Arabidopsis thaliana: one gene and its partners. The protein of the gene in region 3 purifies or fractionates together with the protein of the main gene of each other region. This does not show direct contact. Each region holds a gene or a part of one and is shown on either strand. Other genes may lie near its edges.

Evidence for each region.
Region 1: the proteins of AT3G04500 (region 3) and HMGA fractionate together in Arabidopsis thaliana (co-fractionation; one large-scale study listed by BioGRID). This does not show direct contact.
Region 2: the proteins of AT3G04500 (region 3) and AT4G31360 fractionate together in Arabidopsis thaliana (co-fractionation; one large-scale study listed by BioGRID). This does not show direct contact.

The regions. Positions count from the first base shown.
Region 1 is NC_003070.9:5,136,097-5,142,823, forward strand, and holds HMGA (high mobility group A), read right to left. Parts: upstream 3,372-6,727; 5' UTR 3,258-3,371; coding exon 3,174-3,257; intron 3,100-3,173; coding exon 2,569-3,099; 3' UTR 2,020-2,568; downstream 1-2,019. Other genes in the region: AT1G14890 (Plant invertase/pectin methylesterase inhibitor superfamily protein), read left to right, coding at 949-1,608; AT1G14910 (ENTH/ANTH/VHS superfamily protein), read right to left, coding at 3,832-4,569, 4,705-4,820, 4,909-4,987, 5,076-5,258, 5,349-5,429, 5,520-5,600, 5,675-5,740, 5,831-5,896 and 4 more. UniProt on the Arabidopsis thaliana protein: Binds A/T-rich DNA with a highly dynamic distribution into the nucleus.
Region 2 is NC_003075.7:15,218,438-15,225,768, reverse strand, and holds AT4G31360 (selenium binding protein), read right to left. Parts: upstream 3,927-7,331; 5' UTR 3,825-3,926; coding exon 3,502-3,824; intron 3,093-3,501; coding exon 2,996-3,092; intron 2,859-2,995; coding exon 2,799-2,858; intron 2,540-2,798; coding exon 2,459-2,539; 3' UTR 2,142-2,458; downstream 1-2,141. Other genes in the region: FLA5 (FASCICLIN-like arabinogalactan protein 5 precursor), read left to right, coding at 1,095-1,931; AT4G31355 (uncharacterized protein), read left to right, coding at 5,947-6,072; AT4G31354 (uncharacterized protein), read right to left, coding at 6,424-6,621.
Region 3 is NC_003074.8:1,209,152-1,216,914, reverse strand, and holds AT3G04500 (RNA-binding (RRM/RBD/RNP motifs) family protein), read left to right. Parts: upstream 1-3,007; 5' UTR 3,008-3,119; coding exon 3,120-3,344; intron 3,345-3,648; coding exon 3,649-3,826; intron 3,827-3,983; coding exon 3,984-4,081; coding exon of another isoform or gene 4,082-4,117; exon of another isoform or gene 4,118-4,179; coding exon of another isoform or gene 4,180-4,239; exon of another isoform or gene 4,240-4,348; coding exon 4,349-4,445; intron 4,446-4,598; coding exon 4,599-4,684; intron 4,685-4,796; coding exon 4,797-4,850; 3' UTR 4,851-5,153; downstream 5,154-7,763. Other genes in the region: LSH2 (LIGHT-DEPENDENT SHORT HYPOCOTYLS-like protein (DUF640)), read left to right, coding at 498-1,103; AT3G04490 (exportin-4 protein), read right to left, coding at 7,202-7,390, 7,479-7,548, 7,628-7,763.

The DNA of each region.
Region 1 (6,727 bases), on a different chromosome or scaffold from region 3:
TACCTCCCCACTATAGTCTATAAACTATATAGTACACACTCATTTTTTTCTAAAAGTGGCATTTTAAGTGGACTTTTCTTCTTAAGAAGCATGGTGTGGATCGTTTACTAAAACGATCATGTCATCATTTTCTTCTCTTTCATATATAGCATTAGATCAGAACGCTACAATTTTTCTAATAAAATTCCAAATTATATTGATACTCTCTAGGGTTCCTAGTTCTACAAAGTAAGTTCAAAAATTCAAACAATTCGAGTCATATATTTGTCTCTTGAATCTTGATATAACAGATTCAACACTAAAAATGAGTAAAATCTAAAAAAGGTGTCTATTTAGAAAGAGGAAAAAAAAGACATTGTTATTCAATGAGTTGGAGCATTTTGAGAAAACTATTAGTACAATGTTAATAATCACGCGTGCAGATATTTTCTTCTCGGATAATTTACTTTTATTTAGCAGAATTATTGATTGTAGGCGAATCTCCACATACTCCATCCATAACTTGGTGAGTCCCATCATAGTATTCACCGTACGATCCTTTCGTGGTCGATATTGCAACTGAGGAGTAATGTCCACCCAAAATCTCACTTGCGACCCATACCTAGTTCAACATTTGTGTTCATACTCGACATTTATAAACAAAAGTGCATACAAAATATAGTTATAAAAATGAAGTGTTATGGATATTTTTTTAACCGTTGATATGTTATGAACATATTTTCTTATAAAATTTAAATATATATGGGATAGATAACCATAAAGAATGCAGTTCCTTTTAAGGTACGGCTAAGATAGTGAATCTACCAAGCCTTCCTTTTCACACCAACTATGGATAAAATACACCCGACAAAATGATTAGTGGCCATAATGTGATTATAATGAGCATGAATGGGCAAACATGTCACATTTCTCCATTACTCAATGTCTACATAAACCCTCCAATCTCACATGTTAACTCGAAACAAAGAAGAAATAAACAGAGTAAAAAACTTAAAGCTTAAAATGGGGAGGCAGCTTTATACGACGACGGTTCTCTACTTAGTCACCCTACTCTTCATTTGCCGGACAATCTCAGCCGTCCGTTTCCCTCCGGAACAACCAACAACCGATGATCTAGATTTCATCCGTACGAGCTGCAACACAACGCTGTATCCAGACGTATGTTACACGTCTCTAGCTGGATACGCCTCCGCCGTCCAAGATAATCCGGCAAGGCTAGCTAAACTCGCAATCGGCGTTTCTCTCTCCCGCGCAAAATACACGGCGGCTTACCTCTCCAAACTCTCACGTCGCGCTGCCTCAGCTGCTGTCCACGACTGCGTTTCGAACGTGGGAGATGCCGTGGATCAGATGCGTGGCTCCCTAAGGCAGCTCCGAGAGATGAACCACCGTCGTCCCGGAGATCCGGCGTTTAGGTTTCAGATGAGTAACGTGCAGACGTGGATGAGCGCGGCGTTGACGGACGAGGAGACGTGTACGGATGGGGTCACGGAGGAGATGGAAGACGGAGAGACGAAGACGGCTATTTGCGATAGAGTCGCCGACGTCAAGAGGTTCACGAGTAATGCGCTCGCTCTCGTTAATACCTACGCCAACAATGGAGCCTAACTAACTAAGCTAGGTCTTGAAATTCCTAAAGTTATAAAAACACTTGTATATATATATGTGTTAAGTTGTGTGCTTAGTTTATAATGTGTATTCGAGGCTTTGAAACCGAGTTAGAACTCTGAGTTTGGGTGTTCAAATTATACATTAATCTATGTTTGATTGTATTAATATTAATATATGTCATATGTGTTTATATGGTGTGTGCTATATGAGTAATGAAGATAATTATACATGGTTTTGATGAGTAAATTTGATACATGAACCTGGTTTTTTTTTTTTTTTTTTTTTCTTTGATGAATTTGGATATGATATGGATGAATTTTGGCCATCATGTCTAAGGGGAACTGAAACCCGTGAGATGATTAGAACATCTGACTATGACCCCAAAGTTTGTCTATTAGTGGCCCACTCTAAAATCTTTACGAAAACAAGGTTTTGTCCTTTTTGTTCACGGGGATGCCAAAAAGCTTCCATACTCTGTTCACAGTTTCTATTTCAATCCCTATTGATAATGATTACACACATTCGCTTCACAGATTTTTCTAATTGAATTCCCTTTGAAATTTTCAACTCCCGCGCTGATTCCACAGTGATTCTTTCTTCTGCTAACTGTAGCATAATTAAATTAGTGACAATAATGAATGTTTAGCATTACCAATTACATAGTTTTCCCCTCATTATTAAGTGTGAAAATGAAATCAAAGCAGCAATAATTGTTCAACAAGAGAACAAAGTTTCACATAACACAATGCAGTAATAATAATAATACACAGTCGCTAATGTTATATCTTATCTCAGGACTAAGCAACAACACACACACAAATTCTAAAGTTTACAATCCAAATACTGAAAGAAATCCAAATAAATCTAATTAAGCTAAATTAAAGCACTCTCTTACTCTCTAAGAGATTCCATTTTTCAGTAACTAAAGATTCCGAAATTGCATAAGTACCGATTAATTCAGCACCCAACCGGAGCAACCACCGTCGGCTTCACCTTCGGAGGTCTCCCACGTCCCCTACGCTCACCTGTCGCCTGAGCTGCCGGTTCCGGCGCAGCAACCGTCTCCGAATCTGTTCTCGGTCTCTTCGGTGGTCGTCCTCGTGGCCTTCCAGATCCGGTAATGACCTTCTCCTGGGGAGGCTCCGATGGATCTTTCGGCTTCGGTGGACGGCCACGAGATCTAGGCGGATCTGTAGAGACGACGGTGGCAGCAACAACAGCAGCAGCAGCGGCGTCAGATTCGGCCTGAGTCTTCTGCTTCGGAGGACGGCCACGACCACGCTTAGGAGGAGCATCTGGATCTGGTTTCATATAATTGTTCTTCACCATGATTAGCTGACCGGTTTTCTTCATCTGGTTGAGATGGTAGCTGAGCAGCGTCATGTGTGACGGCGGTAGAGTTTGTTGAGTCGACTCGATGTGCTTAGCAATCGTCGTTTTGTTGCAGCCGTTCTTATCGTTCAAGGACTCAATCGCTTCCATTATCATCTAAACACAAATTTCAACCAAAATTTCAGAAACTAAATTGAGAGAGATTGAGAGATTTTAGGGGTGTACTTCACCTGAGGATAAGGTGGGAGAGAAAACGACGGAAGTTCTGATGAATGCGTATCTGAAGCTGAGCCATGGTGGAGATCGAAGGCCATGTCAAGCGTAGAGAGTGTGTGAGGTGATGAAGGAAGGAATCTGTGTGAGGAGGGATTTTAAAAAGCAATTTGGGAAAGTGGTTTTCTCATTATTCTCATATTAACTTGTAGTGTTGATCTGACGGTTGGGGTTTTCAAACTTACGGGTTGATCCAACGGCTCTGAGTTTATAGCAGCTTTCTCGAGCAGGATTACTGACGTGGACATATGGGAATGACTTCTGCTGACTATTACCCTTAAATTACCTAATTCTCCTCCAATCTTCCTTTTTTATTCAACGAATGGCCATTGGTTCAGCCTAGCTGGATTACTAGAACAGAAAACGACATACTACGTAGCGTTTTTGCTAATCATATTTCAAATTATTTTGTTAATGTAACACAATGAGTTATATATATCTTTCATTTTTTTTCCACCAATGAAAATTCATTTATATAATCAATCCCGAGGAGTCTTTCTCTATTAGCAGAACAAGATTTGCAAGACTAGAAGATGATGTGATTTTATTACTACTCACAAACAATAGAATCATATGAGACAAATAAAGCATTTTGAGAAATATACGAAGATGGGATCACAAGAAGCCCGTGCTGCCGAAGGGGTTGTTGCTGTTATGTTGCTCATGAGCACCTGCGTTTACCGGGAACTCCCCAAAACCCGTGGTGTTTTGCGGTTCTGAAACCGGGACTACTGGAAATTCCCCCAAACCGGTGGTCTTTGACGGTTCTGATACCGGGATTACTGGTAATGCCCCAAACCCAGTGGTGTTTTGTGGTGCTGAAACCGACACTACTGGAAATTCCCCAAAACCGGTGGTGTTTGATGGTTCTGAAGCCGGGGTTACTGGTAATGCCCCAAACCCAGTGATGTTTTGTGGTTCTGAAACCGGCACCACTGGAAATTCCCCAAACGCGGTGGTGTTTGGCGGTTCTGTAACCGGGACTACTGGAATCTCCCCAAAGCCGGTGGTGTTTGACGGCTCTGAAACCGGTACTGGAAATGCCCCAAAACTGGTGGTGCTTTGTGGTTCTGAAACCGGAACTATTGGAAACTCCCCAAAATCACCAAAAGGATTTGCAGGGCTGGGTGCAACCTGTAGCTGTGGCTGCTGCTCTTGTTGATGATAGGTTGGCTCATAGAGACCGAATGGGTTGTTTACGGCTGAAGGCGGTGAAACACTGTCTGAAAATGCAAACAGGTCTTGGACCTCAAACGGATTGGAAGCTGGGACGCCATAGGCAGGCTGTTGGGCTGCTCTCAAGGCTCCATCGTCATATAGACTGTTCAGGGTGAGCGTGTCTAATCCACCCGCCTTGCATTTGTTGCAGAAAAAAATGTTAATGATTCAGAAGCCACAAAATCAATTCCCCAGAGGTGACATACGTTAACAGGACAATGGTACGTAATTGATGCATCCCATTATCACTAATACAAGAATACATCTTACCAGCTGTCTCTCTGTGGCTGCAGATATATCATTGCTAGGTGTTGTGACCAACGCAAGCTCCCATCCTGACGGATCCAAATCTCTTGCTTGCCCAAAACTAAACGGCGAAGAATCAACTGGAAACAGAAACATAACCAGAATTGCGACTAAAGACAAGCAAGAAAGGCAAACTTAGAGCTCCAGTACATAGACCAAGAAGCTCACCATCATTGGAAACTAAGGCCAAAGCTAGTGCATTTTGGTCCAGGATTGCTAACGGATCAGGTGTATCATCATGCAGACCCTGTGTGTAATACTGAGAGAATCAGAGACAAAAGGATAACAATGACAGAATAAAGAAATCAAGACCATATGTAATAAGCATAATTTACCAATAGATCATCAGTATCAATGAAGTTCTGTGGAGTTTCTACTGAAGGAGGAGACTGGGAAGAAAGTTGCGTTTCTTCAGAGGGAACAACGGCACTATCTGAAGGCGATGATGTTTCATGTTCTTCATGTGAAGGTCCAACATCTTCAGAAGTAAGACCATCATCAGGCGTATAGGTCAGAAGCTGTATGTTGACAAAGTTTTTAGAAATAAGTTATAAAAGAAAAATCATGGTTTCTGTAGGAGTAGGACCACAATGAGAGTATATATGTACCAGTGGCCCAGATGTGACGTCGACCATCTGAGGTGCGTCTCTCATATATTCCTCCATTGTTGTAAGAAAAGATTGTGGAGGCTTGAAAAAAACAAAAATAGACTTATTTAGTATTGATAAAGTACCTGCCATCACAAATTTAAATGTAACAAACAAGTTATTATCTGATACCTCTCTTAAAACAGGAAACTGGAAATTCCTTGCAAGTTCTAATCCTTTGCATACTTCATAGAAGGCAGAAAGGTTGCCAGCCTGCATTGATAAACTAACCCTTGTTAAGTGAAATCTAAATTGATCTAACAGAGAAAATAACCCAACAACATTACCTGCAAACCCGCACGCTTGTATATTTCAAGGGCCTTGATGGCCTCATGTCTTGGCATTTCAAAGAACTGCAATATATGCATGTATAAAACAGTAAGAAATCAAAAAACACATGAAGGGAGAGAGTAACTCTGGGGGAAAAGAAAAAACTGGCCTACCTTCTCTACTAGATTGATAATTCCTTCATTGATGGCACAATACACTTTAAAACTCTCCTTCAATACCTGCATACACAATTTACAATAAGATCTCAGAGCTTAAATCAAGCTGTTCTTTCCAGATAGTATATATTTGACACAACACTAAGAACTAGCGGATATATGTAAATTATGCCCCCGAGTTTAGTTTAATGTACCAGGGAGAGTGCATATTGAATGATATGATTGTGCTTAGCAGCACCTTCTGGCTGAAAAAGTCGAAAGAGCAAAGTCAGTTCATACGTCAGGAAAAGCTTCTCCAACTTAATAGAAAATAATACGGGATTTACAAAACATAGTGCACGACTCGGGAAATGACATCAAAGAAGCACCTTACAACCAATGAGACGATGCAGAAGCTGTTGTAAAGCTGGCAACTGTTCCAAGAGTTTTTCACCATCTAAATCCCTTGTTTTGCTATACCCCTGTTCATTTCCAAAATCGAATACCCTCAGGAAGGAAAGGAGATAATATAAGGCCAGAAAACCAAGTAAAACGCAAATTTGATACCTTCTCCTGCCCTGGGGAAACTTTTGGAAGACGTTCAGCCTCGATGTCATATTTCAGAACCCTGAAGCATTCAAGCCGTTCCTCAAGAAACAACGCATAAGTGCGTACCCACCCTGAACAATCCCATGCTGTAAGCAAGCATAAAGCAAATACCATATCAACAATAACTCTATGCAGAAACCTTGAATGAACCTCATTTGCTTCTAAAAACACATAGACCCGTGAATGTAGCAGTAAGGACTCACCGACTGGGCTAGAGTCATCCTTGAAATTAGAAATTTGCATAATGCGTCCTTTTTGCGAAAAATTCAATAGCTCCTCTCTAAATGTCGGATCACCATCCCTCAG
Region 2 (7,331 bases), on a different chromosome or scaffold from region 3:
AATCCGTCGTTTACATGGTTTATATATGATATATACTGAAATTATACAAATTGACGTTCATCTACTTTTTTTTTTTTTTTTTTTTTGTGATTCACTCTTTAATTTTATTTACCTTTTTAAGAACATTTATCATTATTTGCAAACTCCAACTAATTTATATTTTGCTCTATAGTTCTGAGGCAAATTATTTACAAACATGAATATCGATGTCCAAAATATCATAATAAATTGATGCTTTTAAGTTGTAGCAAAAAAAATAAAAATATATGTTTTACCATCCACACTCAAAGTCGTTAAGCTAGCTTTTCCATCAAATGATGATATTTAGTTTAGAAATTAATGAACATGCGGCATTAACTGTGAAAACCTCTTTGACGTAATTCATTAATTAAATTTTTCGAAAACGAAATATAATGTGAACATAGCATGCAATTGACGTTTAGTTATTACTTGTCATTTTCACGGGGCTATAGACAGTTTCTATTCTAAATTCTAAATTTCTTTGTTACTCTTATTCAAAAGTATTTTAGCTTTCTCAGAATACTTATCTTTTTCTAATCATAATTTATCATTTCTTATTTATATTTACTCTGGTTTCCAAAAACTAAATATCGATGTGCCAATTATCATACAAAAAATTGATGATATTAATAAGTAGATGAGTAGTAATTTTTTTAGCAAAAATAAAAATTACTAGTGTTTAATTATTCATGTTAAGAGTCTTTTAGGTTATCTTTTCCATCAACTTTAGAAATCATTAACTAAAACTTCATCAGATTGTAAACAAAACAACTATAATTTTGTTACAATGATAAATTCATCTAATAAACATGCAAGTTCCATCATTATAATTTTAGTTCCTTTCGCACAGAAGAAAACTTTTTCAATTAACATAAAAAAACTTGTTAAAACGCAATTTAGCCATCAAATAATTAAATTCTCAATGGCCAAGTCTTACTATACTCTAAAAATAGCAGAGTAGACTTAGCTCACCAAAAGACTAATTCAGATTTAATACCAAAAACAGAGAAAATCTCTCCTTTTAAACCCACTCTTCGCCCTTGAGGTTTAGCAAAGAGAACACACGACACGAGATGGGTCTCAAAGCCTCCCTTTCTCTCCTCTCCCTCACCATCTTACTCGTCTTCTCTAAGGTCGTTACGGCGAATAACATCACGCTGGCCTTTCAGAAATACTCCAAATTCAGCACCATGAGGGACCTCTTCATCAAGACCAAGCTCATTGCAGCCATCGACAAATACCAGACGATAACCGTGCTTGCTGTTAGCAATGACGCTATCAGCTCCATCACTAACAGATCCGAAGTTGAGCTCAGGAACATCCTCATGACTCATGTTATTCTTGACTACTACGATGAGCTTAAGCTTCAGGGGATGAGGGAGAAGAGTATAATGCTTACTACCTTATACCAAACCACCGGGTTGGGTGAACAGATGAATGGTTTCTTGAACGTTTCCAAATCAAAAGGAAGAGTTTACTTTGGATCGGAAGTGAAGAACTCTCCTTTAAACGCTGAGTATGTCTCGACGGTGTACCACAATCCATATAACCTCTCTATCATCCAGATTACCATGCCAATAGTGGCTCCTGGACTCAGCCTTGCAATTTTCCCACCTCCACCACCATACGTTCATGTAGCTCCATATCCAACTCCCATGGATGCTTCAGTGGTTCCAGCTCCAGGACCAGCTGCTGATGACAATTCCCCAGATTCTGCTGTCCCAAAAACTCCACCTGCACCTGCAACAGACACACCAGAGGCTGATTCTCCAGCTCCTGCTCCAAGCGCCGATAATGAGAAGATTGAAGCTGCTGATAAGGCTAAACCATCTTCTTCTGCTTCTAAGGCTGGTTGGAGCTTTGATGTTATTCTCTTGTTAGCATTTTTGGCTAGCTTTGCTGGGTTCTAAGATTCGGGTGATGTGGGTTAAAGACAATAATGGTAGGTGAGATTCAAAACAATTTTTCTGTAGCTTTTAGCCAAGAAGAGAGACACGGCCATTGGAAGTGAAAGAAACCTAAATGTAATGAGCTTTCTACTCATCATGCATTGTATTTATCAGCCATTTTGAATGCAAATGTGATGTTTGTCCTATTGATTTTGTAACACAGTTCTAATTGTGTTAGAACATGCTTTAACCAGTGCATAGATTGTTAGAACCATGCATGGTCCCAACAACAAAAAACACTTATGCATCGGTTTGCTTCAAGCAACGAGATGAATAATAAACTAGCCTTACAAATACGAGTTAACCCCAAAAACTACAGAGATCCTTCTCTATCAACTAATCATGCATTGCCAAACGACGAGACTGCACTTACAGTGCTCATACCGAAACAATAAAAGTGAACCTAACAAATCTGACATTACTCTAGAAAGTCTTCTGCAGAAACCTAATTGATTAAACTGAGACCGAGGCAGAAACAAAGAACAGATTCATTTGACTTTCTTTATGATGTCCTCGATGACTTCTTCCATATCAAGTGCCTTCATTGGTGCAAATGGACGTTTCATCTCCTACAAAATGAGATAAACATAATCTACATCTTTAGGTCTATGTTAAGATTGAAAGGCAAAAACATATTCATGATTTCTACTCACAATAACACATTTCTCGTAATGAATAAGGATCAAGTTGATTTTCATTCTCATATGCATATAGAGCAAGTGGTGTTATGAGAATTAGTAATAACAATAAACCTTACTCAAACTGAACAAATCATATGCAGAAGCGAGACAAATTGAGATTTGTTTTTATTAGAATGAAAGTTTTTACCAAAAGACTGATGAATGTTTGGCCACCTTCCTCCCGGATCTCAAAGCAACCCCGCCTTGGCTGTTCAAGCACATCAAAAGAAAGAATTAGTAATTTAGAAGAAAATCTTATCAAGTATAATGTGAAAAGTATGCTCTAACGCATTAGTCAAAACGGAGCATTCATGACGATATATTCATCTGCAGTAAAAGCATTACCTTTTCAGGATTAAGAGACACCGTGACGCCAGGAACAGCTCCCTCCAAAGCTTCCTTCACCTGAATAGCTCTTGTCTTGAAAGCATTGCATTGTTTACTTCAATAACATCACAAAACAAAACAAAAAAGAACTCTTGTGAGACATAAGTATAGAAGCAAATTCCATTTATAGAATGAACACGTCCATTACGCATTGCAATTCAGCTAAAGCAAGACAAGAACACAAACAGAAAGCAGATAGTCAAGTCCTCTTCACAAATGCGAGCAAAACATAAACCACTAATCACTCAAACCAAAAACTTATGCAGAATCAAGATGAAAACCTAACACATTGTTCCACCCTAGCAAATAAACCTTAGCTGCTACACACGGACACACAAGTCTCAACACATACCCCAAAGTTGTAGGCTTTTAGATTCAATTTCAAAGAAAAAAACCTAAATTTTTGCTCTTATGATTCCAAACATTATCTCTAAAGAAATCGAAAACATTTACGCAAAAATTACCAGTGTTCTATAACAATCTTGGTTCTCGTAGGGTCCTCAACCTCTGGCTCTTCCTTCTCAACCTCCTCCTCAACGGCTTCCTCTGGCTCTTCAACTTCCTCTTCCTTCTTTCCCTTCTTGGCTCTCCCAGTCTCAATCGCTGAATTCTTCCTCTTAGCCTTCTTCGTCGCCGGCTTAGTGGCGGATCCAGCCGCTTTAGCACCGTTTTGTTGAGTCTGACTTCGAGTTCGACTGTCCATGCTCCGAGTCACTCTAGACGACGCCAACGTCGTTAAAGGTTTCGCCTTTTCTTCTCCATCTGCCTTACTCTTCTTCGGCGGCATTGTACGGACAGCAACAGGGTTTCGTCTTAACAATCTTCTTCTCCTTCTTCTCCGTCTCTGTCTTACCGCTCTTTCTTACTTTTTTGTTGTTTGATATTCCCTTTTGTGTTTGCTTTTTTCTTACCTTGGAAAAGTAATTCGAATAAACGGTAGAGATTTAACCTACAAGGGTTATTAAAAGGTTGACCGTTAGATTGCAGGGGTTATGATTATGTATTCTCAATGCCCAATAGTGCGCTACTGCTGTATCACACGACACATCCACGTGCTTCGAAACGCTGTGGTGTTTTGCCTCTAAAACGCACAACTACTTACCGTTTTGATTGGATAGAATGATTTTATTTTAATTCCACTTCTCTTTTTTACCTACATTATTTTGATTCCAATTCATTTGGCTTTTTCTAAACTCAAAATAAACTGAAACACTTTATCATATTTATTAAGAAATATTGATTTTCTGATACATAAAGTAAGATAAAAGTCTGTATATCCTTCTAGCTTTTTAGCATTTTGGTCACTGCGGACAATTTTAAGAGATTTTACTAAAAGTATCGTCCAATCCTTTTGTAGGTTTTTATGACTCAAGCCATCAATCCAAATTTCCAATATATGATGATAGTTGAAGTATTTGGATGTAGTAATGCTAAAATGTAATATGTTAATAAGTCGCATACTCATGGTGAACAAACATTCATCCATTATGGTGACATTTTTGTTTGTTTGTTTGTATAATAAAATGCAGGGGGAAGCTTTTGCAACAATGTGTGCATGTTGGAGAAATCTCAGTTAGCACTTTCACAACCAAGCTCCATGGGAAGATCTTTTGGACCTAAATATTTTAGAACTTGTTCATCACATCACAACCATCATCTTCAGTCTTCACTGTTACTCTATTTGTCTGTCTTTCACATATTAGCAAGTTGGTGAAATCTTGATTGGTTGATCCTGATCCCATAACAAATTACACTAATCTCACACAACGACGAACCCTCTTACAAGGTTGGTAGCATGCTAAACGTATGGAAAAATTTGGGAATCTTTTCTAAAAAAATAAGAAACTTGTATATATTTTTTTTCAACACAAACTTGTATTCTAAATCTACATAACGATGTAAAAACAAGTTGAATTTGTGGAATCGCTAACTATCAATGACGGGATCCAAAACCGGTTATTCAACATCGTCTTGTAAATTTATTATCCAAATTTCCATTGTTTAAAATCTGGTCTTGTAAATTTATTATCCAAACATAACCCAACATCGTCCATTATTATCCAACTCTGTCTAAACACTGAAACAAGAAACCGAACATGATCCATATGTCTAGAGATTTTTGAACTGTGGGTACCAAAGAAGGATCAATGTTCTAATCTCAAGTCTCAATCTAAAGTTTGAAGTCGTGGGTACCATTTTTCATCAACCAAAACATAAGCCAATCCAATCCAATCTTTTGTCTAAAGGATTGGTTACTTCGAACCTCAAGTCTCTGACTATTTTAAGCCGTGGGTAACTTGATCTTTGTCTAAAGACTGACACAAGAGACCGAACATGATCCATATGTCTAAAGATATTCAAGCCGTGGGTACCAAAAGAATCAATGTTGGAATCTCAAGTTTCAGTTCACTCGAAAGACTAAAGTTTAAAGCCGTGGGTACCATTTTCCTTGCACCAAACATAACCAAATCCAATCTTTTTGACAAAAGATTGGTTACTTTCGAACCTCGAGTCTCTGTCTAAAGACATAATGTTTTAAGCCGTGGGTATTCTTTTGTCTAAAGATTGAAACAAGACACCGAACATGATCCATATGTGTAGTGAGTTTCAAGTCGAGGGTACCAAGAAGGATCAACAGAAACTTGTATTATAAATCTACTTAACGATGGGAAGACAAGCTGAATTTTTGGAATCGCTAACGATCAATGATGGGATCCAAAATCCGGTTAGTTTAACATCGTCTTGTAAGTTTATTATCCAAATTTCCATTGTTTAAAATTATAAGTCTCTGTCTAATGACTTATAATGTTTTAAGCCGTGAGTGTTTCTTTATCTAAAGATTGAAACAAGAAACTGAACATGATCCATTTGTCTAGTGATTTTCAAGCCGTGTGTACCAAGAAGGATCAATGTCGAATCTCAAGTCTCAGACTAAGTTTGAAGCCGTGGGTACCATTTTCCGTGCACCAAACATAACCCAATCCAATCTTTTGTCTAAAGGATTGGTTACTTCGAACCTCAAGTCTCTGTCTTAAGACTTTCTTAAGCCGTGGGTAACTTGATCTTTGTCTAAAGACTGAAACAAGAAACCGAACATGATCCATATGTCTAGAGATTTTAAAGTCGTGGCTAACAAGAAGGATCAATGTTCACTCTCAAGTCTTAATCTTAATACCAAAGTTTGAAGCCGTGGGTACCATCTTCCTTCCACCAAACATAAGCCAATCCAATCTTTTGTCTAAAGAATTGGTTATTTTGAACCTCAAGTCTCTGTGTAAAGACTTTTTTAAGCCGTGGGTAATATGATTTTTGTCTAAAAACTGACACAAGAAACCGAACATGATCCATATGTCTAGATATTTTCAAGCCGAGGGTACCAAGAAGGATCAATGTTCAGTCTCTAGTCTCAGTCTAAAGACTAAGTTGGAAGCCGTGGGTACCATCTTCTTTCCACCAAACATAACCCAATCCAATTTTTTGTTTAAAGGATTGGTTACTTCGAACCCCATGTCTCTGTCTAAAGACTGTTTTAAGCCGTGAGTAACTTGATCATTGTCTAAAAAGTGAAACAAGAAACCGAACATGATCCATATGTCTAGATATTTTCAAGCCGAGGGTACCAAGAAGGATCAATGTTCAGTCTCAAGTCTCAATCTAAAGACTAAAGTTTGAAGCCGTGGGTACCATTTACCATCCACCAAACATAACCCAATCCAATCTTTTGTCTAAAGAATTGGTTATATTGAACCTCAAGTCTCTGTGTAAAGACTTTTTTAAGCCGTGGGTAACTTGATTTTTGTCTAAAAACTGACACAAGAAACCAAACATGATCCATATGTCTAGATATTTTCAAGCCGAGGGTACCTAGAAGGATCAATGTTCAGTCTCAAGTCTCAGTCTAAAGACTAAGTTAGAAGCCGTGGGTACCATCTTCCTTCCACCAAACATAACCCAATCCAATCTTTTGTCTAAAGAATTGGTTACTTCGAACCCCATGTCTCTGTCTAAAGACTGTTTTAAGCCGTGAGTAACTTGATCATTGTCTAAAAAGTGAAACAAGAAACCGAACATGATCCATATGTCTAGATATTTTCAAGCCGAGGGTACCAAGCAGGATCAATGTTCTGTCTCAAGTCTCAATCTAGAGACTAAAATTTGAAGCCGTGGGTACCATTTACCTTCCACCAAACATAACCCAATCCAATCTTTTGTCTAAAGAATTGGTTATATTGAACCTCAAGTCTCTGTGTAAAGACTTTTTTAAGCCATGGGTAACTTGATTTTTGTCTAAAAA
Region 3 (7,763 bases):
GACTCTCATCTCTTTCTCTTTCTCTATAAATGACCTATTATGATGTTTATGCAGCTATATATATGGACATTTGTGTCTGTATTTTTCTATCCATCTTCTCATTCTATAGTAGAAAAGAGGAAAAACACAAAAGACAACAGTAGAAAAGGAGAAAGAAAGAAAAAATCTCACTTTGATTTCTTCTACTTATATCTCTCATCTTGCAAAAAAGCAAGAGGTCTCTTCTTATTTTGCAGGTTGTTCCTCTTTGCCTCACCATATTTGAACAACATCATCATCACTGAATCTATCCTTTTTTGTAGCACCTACCTCACCACTTTGCAGTACAAGGAAGTAGCCAAGTGCTAATTCTATCTCTCTTTTTAGTTATTTATTATATATATCCTTTAACCAGAAAAAGTTATTTATTATAAATAACTTAAAACCTAATCTTTGCCCTAAATCACTCAACTCGATCTGGAGAAAGAACCCTAATTTGGAAACATATCTAAAAAGCTATGGATTTGATCTCTCAAAACCACAACAACAGAAACCCTAATACCAGTCTCTCGACGCAAACCCCTTCTTCCTTTTCTTCTCCACCTTCCTCTAGCCGCTACGAGAACCAGAAACGCCGTGACTGGAACACTTTCTGCCAATACCTCAGAAACCACCATCCACCGCTCTCTCTAGCTTCTTGCAGTGGCGCACACGTCCTCGATTTTCTGCGTTACCTTGACCAATTCGGCAAAACCAAAGTCCACCACCAAAACTGCGCCTTCTTTGGCCTCCCAAATCCACCGGCTCCTTGTCCTTGTCCTCTCCGACAAGCCTGGGGCTCACTCGACGCCCTCATTGGTCGTCTCCGTGCAGCCTACGAGGAGAACGGTGGCGCTCCCGAGACTAGCCCTTTTGGCTCACGGTCCGTCAGGATTTTCCTCAGGGAGGTTAGAGATTTCCAGGCTAAGTCACGTGGTGTTAGCTATGAGAAGAAGAGGAAAAGGGTCAACAACAAGCAAATAACTCAGTCCCAACCACAGTCCCAACCGCCTTTACCCCAGCAGCCACAGCAGGAGCAAGGTCAGTCTATGATGGCTAATTACCACCACGGTGCAACTCAATAATGTCGTATAACTTTATGTATGCTCGCATCTAGCTATTTATATCTACGTATCAACCTTTGTATTCGTGTAACGCAATCCCTATTCTCCTCCACCCACTGTTAATTTATATCATTGTTTCTTAATTAGACCTATTGTTTTGTTTTTCTTATAATCAATAAATGAAAAGAACTTGGATTTTATTTGGCTTATATATGATTATGTCATGGCCTCTTTTATATATTATATTGTCTAGATGATGAATTGATGATAATCGAGATTTTATAAAATTCGAATCATGAACATGAAGTGATATTTGTTGTCAGCTTGGATATTAATTAAGTGATATATCGATCGATATCATATGACGACTTCTGTTAGATTTAATATTTCTGTAAGGTCATAATTATGAATATAATATACTAGTTACTTGTTAGGGTTTATACTATGCATGAACATATACTTATAAATTTCAATTTCATCCACTCAAACGTGAAGCTTAACGTACAATTATTTTTCTGATAAATTAAACGGCTATATTTCTTCAGATTATTTTTGATACATATATTTTGTCTAATATATTTACGGATTTTCTTCATCTCCATGTCATTAATGTGTTCACCGTTAACTTCTTGTTTCGGCCGCATAGCTAAGAGAAAAATATCGAAATGTGTATTTTATTGGTTTAGTATATTTTCCCCAATATGATGTTTGACTAAACATGAGTGTGTGAGAGAATGTTGCACAAAATTGAAATTTGAAAGGCAAATCTAAAACGCATCTATAATTGCAAAAAGACAAAATATGATCATAGTTTCAATTATTGATGACAGCTAATCTTGTTACACAAATTTCTTCCCAATTTGTTATTAGCGGAACGTCGATTTGACAATTTTAGAATATTAAAAATTTTCATCAGAACATATTTCTCACAAAATTATGTGTTTGATATGTCACTATCGATTTCAAACTCATATAATATTCTGTAAAAAAGACAAAAATATTAAACGGATTGATTCCTTTTTTCGCTTGTGTTTTAAATTCAGAAACGTCGCTGTTAACATATTGATCGGATGCTCTTTGCTTTTACCAACAGTGACATTTAAATGTAGTGACCTACCGTTTTGGATCTGTGGGCTGTGAACTTGTGATATGCATTGTCGACAATTTTTGTTGAAAGATGTTATAAATCTATTTAAATTATTATCTGTAACTATAGTTGAAACTCTGAGTTCGAATTTTTAACTTGCATTGACAAATAGTATATGAGATGTATAAATTGATGTTACACGAATTGGAATTGATTACCAAACAGTGATGTAACCGGTTTTGCGCTCATCTCTGTAATGTGGTTCCCCCTTCAATAAAAGCAACGTAGAATAGAACAGTTTGGTCTCGGGGCACTCAAGGCAAGAGTTTAAAATCGTATGGACGAGTTTCGTCGACATTGGCTCAGGCTAATAGGGGACTAAGAAACGTGGACAAATGAAAATGATGTGTCCGTACGAGGTAGGCTTTGAATGTAGCTGTAAGAAATATTATTATTTAAACATTTTGTTGTAAGATTATGATTTTTTTTGCATAATTTAGCACCACATGTGGTTATTCCCTATTTGGGAGGGCCCTTGTTATACAGTCTTTTGGATTTATTTCTGATCCTCTTGCACATTTTTGAACAGAGTCGTCGTTTATATAAATGTAGTACTTGTGCAATATTTCTAAGAATTTCAAAAATATTTTCAGATTCTCTGGTTAAAACTTAAAAGCTACCAGAAAAGTTGTTGGTAAAATGGTTTAAACTACTTAGTGAATAACATTGAACCAGGTTTAATCCGGTTTAGCCACGTTCTCAATTGATCGTCTATTGGTGTAGTCTCGTCTGATTTAGGAACCCATAGGCTTTTTGTGAAGATACTATTGGGCCTCAGCCCAATAATTAGAAAACCGTAAATTTCCAATTTAAGTGGGAAAACAAATTAAAAAAAAAGAATAAACAAAATTTGAGGTTTCGATTTTGCGATTCGGCGATTTGCTTCTCCGATGTCAATCCCACCATCTTCAGGTTCTTCTTCTTCATCTTCCTCGTCTCAGTACACATACGCAGCTAATTCTTACTATTCCGCTCCGTATCAGCCTCCACAGCCTTACGCGGCGGCGCCTTCGCCTGCTGTACCGGCGCCTGTGGCATCCATTCCCGGAGCTACGGTCTATCCTCAGCCTGTTGGACCGGTTCCTGCCGTCTACGCTTACCCTCAGTACCAACAGGTTAGTTGGATTTGAAAAATCAGGAGTTTGATTCGTGGCGTTGTGTATTTATGATTCTGGGTTCGAATTAGGGTTTGCGAAATCTCTCTCCTTTGATTTTAGGGGTTTAATGTTGTTTTTGATATTGAAGTTTCTCGTTATGATTGTGTAATGCTTGTCACTCATGGATCTCACATGTTTTACAGTTAAAGATTTGTTCTTTGGATTTGATTTTACTTGTTTTGTGAAATTTCTGCCAAGTTTAGGTTTAAGGTAGAAAGTTGGTATCTTCATTGTTGTTTGATTCGGTTGTATTTATTGGCAGGCACATCAATTGTTCCAAAGAGATGCACAGACAATTACACCAGAAGCTCTTGAGAATGTAAAAGCTGCTTTGGCAAGTAGTGAAACCGAACACAAAGCAGAAACTAAAAAGAGAGCCATTCCTCGTAAAGCTGCTGGACAGTCTTGGGAGGATCCTACTCTTTCAGAATGGCCAGAAAGTAAGCTCTGCTCGTCTTTTTCTTCTTCTTTCCCTTGATTTTGCTGATTGTTGTTTTAGTTTACGGGATGGTATCATAGTTGTTCATAGGTAGGATTTTAGATGTTTTCTTCTCTGTTGTTAAAATAGATTTCTTATATCTTTCTAACATTTGGCAGATGACTATCGTCTGTTCTGTGGTGATCTTGGGAACGAAGTGAATGATGATGTTCTTTCCAAAGCATTTGCTAGATTCCCCACCTTCAATATGGCCAAGGTAACTGTGTATATCTCTCCTCCTTTTCGGCTTTAGTGATTATTCATATCTGGTTTCCTATGAACATATATTTGAGAACATTAGTCATGTGATTGTAGTCAACTGTGATGCATTTGCAAACCAAAACACATAGTATGTTCAGAACAGAGCATGGTTGACCTTAGATCATACGGATCATTCTTACTCGAATCACAAAGATAAGTATTCAGTGTTAGTTTTGTGGTCAAACTCGTACCAGAAAAATAAGAGTCTTATTTACCATGACAGGTCATTAGAGATAAGCGGACTGGTAAAACCAAGGGTTATGGGTTTGTGAGTTTCTTAAATCCTGCGGATCTAGCAGCAGCCTTAAAAGAAATGAATGGTAAGCACCTTGTTTTTAGTTTCTGTTTGATGTGTTGCTTCATCTTGATATCTCATCTCACTGTTTTTGTCAGAACTTGTTATATGATTCTGTTCTATAATCACTGTCGTTGAACATTCTGATTTGGTCCACTGATTTCATATGAATACACAGGTAAGTATGTTGGAAATCGTCCGATAAAACTACGAAAGAGTAGCTGGAAAGAGAGAACAGATCAGGAGGCTGCTGAAAGACAAAAGGCAAGTATCTTGACTCGAACGTTTTGATAGATACATTTGCAAAGGATTTTATTTTTATGAGTATCTAATTCTTGATTATAACTGATGGTTCTCTGTTTGATTGTAAATGCAGCATCACAGCAATAAGAAGCAAAAAACTGTGAAGAAGAGCATACTTCACAAGTGACGATCTCTTTTATTTTTGTGGCTTAAAATTTCCAAACCTGTTACTCATAAATATAAATGAACAAACATTATCATTAGTTTTGTTGAAAACGGTATGGTTATGTATTGTTGGGCTGCTATGTTTAGCTTTAGCCCCAACCGGTGGTATTTACTTTATGAAAACGTGTGTCCACAATAGGCTCGAGCACAAACTTTTCTTACATCTTTTTCACTCCATTAAAACGTTCAAGTGGTCTGAGCATATTACAAGAAAATCAATATTACTATTTAAGGATCGATTATAAGAAAGAAGATGTATACTATCTAACATAGTTTTTTGGTAGTTATGTAAAGAAAGAGTTGGAATTTCTAGGCATCATACATCTTCTAAGGTGATGTTATAACCCGAATGGGTTCTTTATCAGCGTTTTCGTTACACATACTTTACTCCAATCTGTAATTTAAATTTACCAGTAACACTTTAATTTTACGAAAATGTCTCACATTTCCTGAAGTTACTCAAAGTCATTTTTTTTTCCTTCTTTTTTTGTGTTATTGTTTTTCTTTAAACTTTCTAAAATATATTCCACATTAACAGCTCAACAAATTATGCCCTAAATATGTGAATCGGCTAGCAATGGGTCTAAACATAGCAATTCAGTGGTGTTTGTTTTGTGAAAATACGTCTAATGCAAAGAAAGTTAATCACCAATTTATTGATGCGTTGTAGATATTTTTCTTCTTTGTAAAAGTGATCTTTCTAATAAACATAACATGGTTTCTTTTACTACAAAAAAAAAAAAAACTGAAAATTAACATATGTAGCGAAAGAGACAAAGAGTAGTTATGCGAAATGGAGAAATTATAGATATCTGGCAACATCATTGAATCCGCCTTGATATATATTTTTCACATAGGTTGTGATGATTCTGTATGTAACATATGTATGTAAATATTATTTGACAACGATAGACTAAAATATGTAGACAGTTTGAGTATACTAATTGCATTTATTAGAGGAGCTTTGACGACTATCAGACTTGGGTGAATGGAGGAGAAGATAGGCAATCACTAGAAACTAATAAAGTAAACATTATTGAGTTTTGTCAACGACAAACTGAATAGAGATTGAAAAAAAAAAAAAAATCTAAAAAAACAAGAAAAGACTGATGCAAAAAAAAAAAATTGTCGAATCAAGAATAATGTGAACCGCTCCTGCATGCATAGGTCCCCTGTATGAAAAACTCGTGTTGCTTGACTTCTTGGCATCGTAGTAAGCGGTGTTCGTAGCTCCCACTATAAAATCGTCAATCGGCTGGAAATCACGGTTGTTAACCACGATTTCCAGATCGCGCATATAAGCAGTTTTGGCACTATTCGAAAGGTATCCAGATCCCATCTGAGTAGTCGTGTGTCGGCCAGATAAATTGGCGTTTACTATCTCACCGCCCCATTTCACCTCTTCTGCATAATTGTTGAGGCAAGTAAAGATCTCGGTCGGCCAATAGCCAACTGGTGTAAGTACAATGTCATTGGCCGAACCGACAGACAACCACCAATGTCCGAGGTTTTTAATATGTAAATCATTATCTAATTAATATTTTGTACATAACTTTCAACATACAGTAAGACTTTTTATATATAACTGGATTATTGTGTGTTATTTTACTCTCATTATAATGTGCCGGATTATTGTGGTCAAATTAGTCTCTCAAATTTTCTTCCAGTTTCGATTTTGATGGAAGTGACGGTTTTATAAATATATTTTAATATATATTTAAGCAAAACATAAGGAAAAAAAAAACAAAAATTGAGCAAAACATAACATTTTTATTTAATATCAAATTCATGATTTAAAAAATAAATAGAAATGTTAAAATTAAAACAACTATTGACTAATTAAGACACTTAAAAAAGAGGTAACAATACAAATTAAATAACTTCTTGGTCTCAAATTTACCTAATTTATTTTATATCACTATTAGCTGATCTTCAATATTTATAGATAAATATTTATGGTGGAAATTAATGGAATATGTATTAAAATTCTCTGGTGAATTTGGTCAAAGATAATTTTTATTTCTAACATAAACTGTAAATTGACCAAATGCAAAGCTTTTTGAACCAAAAGAAAAATCTTGCCCCAGTGGCTTCAATGAAAAAGTATTTTGTAAGACATACATATTAATTCATGCATTGTATTGATTACTTTTTTACTAAACTACATTTTCTAAACTATAAGAGATGATCACATTGGTCTTAAGTTCGCATTTGTAAAAGTAAAATTTAATTGTTACAAACGGAAAAAACCACTTCTACCAAGTAAATTCTTTTTACAACCCAAAAAAAAAGCAAATAAGTTCTAAAATTCGGTCACCTAGTTTTCAGAAACCCACGAACTTCGACAAGGAAGTTGTTGAGGTTCTTTCTGAATCTTTGGTAGTTGAGACGGTCCAACGATGAGGATAGCTGGTTTGACGTTGTGAGCACCTGAAGCGCGTTTGCTAGCCTAGTTTTAAAGTTCGGATTCGCCTGCTTCTCAATCAGTTCGTTGCCCAATCCCTAGATGTAGCACAGACTTTCAAGTTACTGCTGTTTAAAGCATAGAAACTCGGTTTACTTTTTTAAGTGAGAACAATAAAATACTGACCTGGTAAAGATTTGGTTCACAGAGAATAAGAGGGAACAAGGCATCTGCTGCTGTACTGACTAGGTCGGTACTGTAACAAGAAACCGGTAATAACACTTTAAGCAAACCATTCGAGAGAGCGCTTCTAGTTGGTGAACAGAGTTTAATACCTGTAATCCTCAAAAAGAAGGAAGTGAAGCAATGTACGAAGGAATCGACTCAATATTCCTTCATGGAATACTCCATTTGGATCTGTGTGTCCAGCAGCGTGTGAACCCAAACCCGAGTTGCCAGCATTTTTCTCTT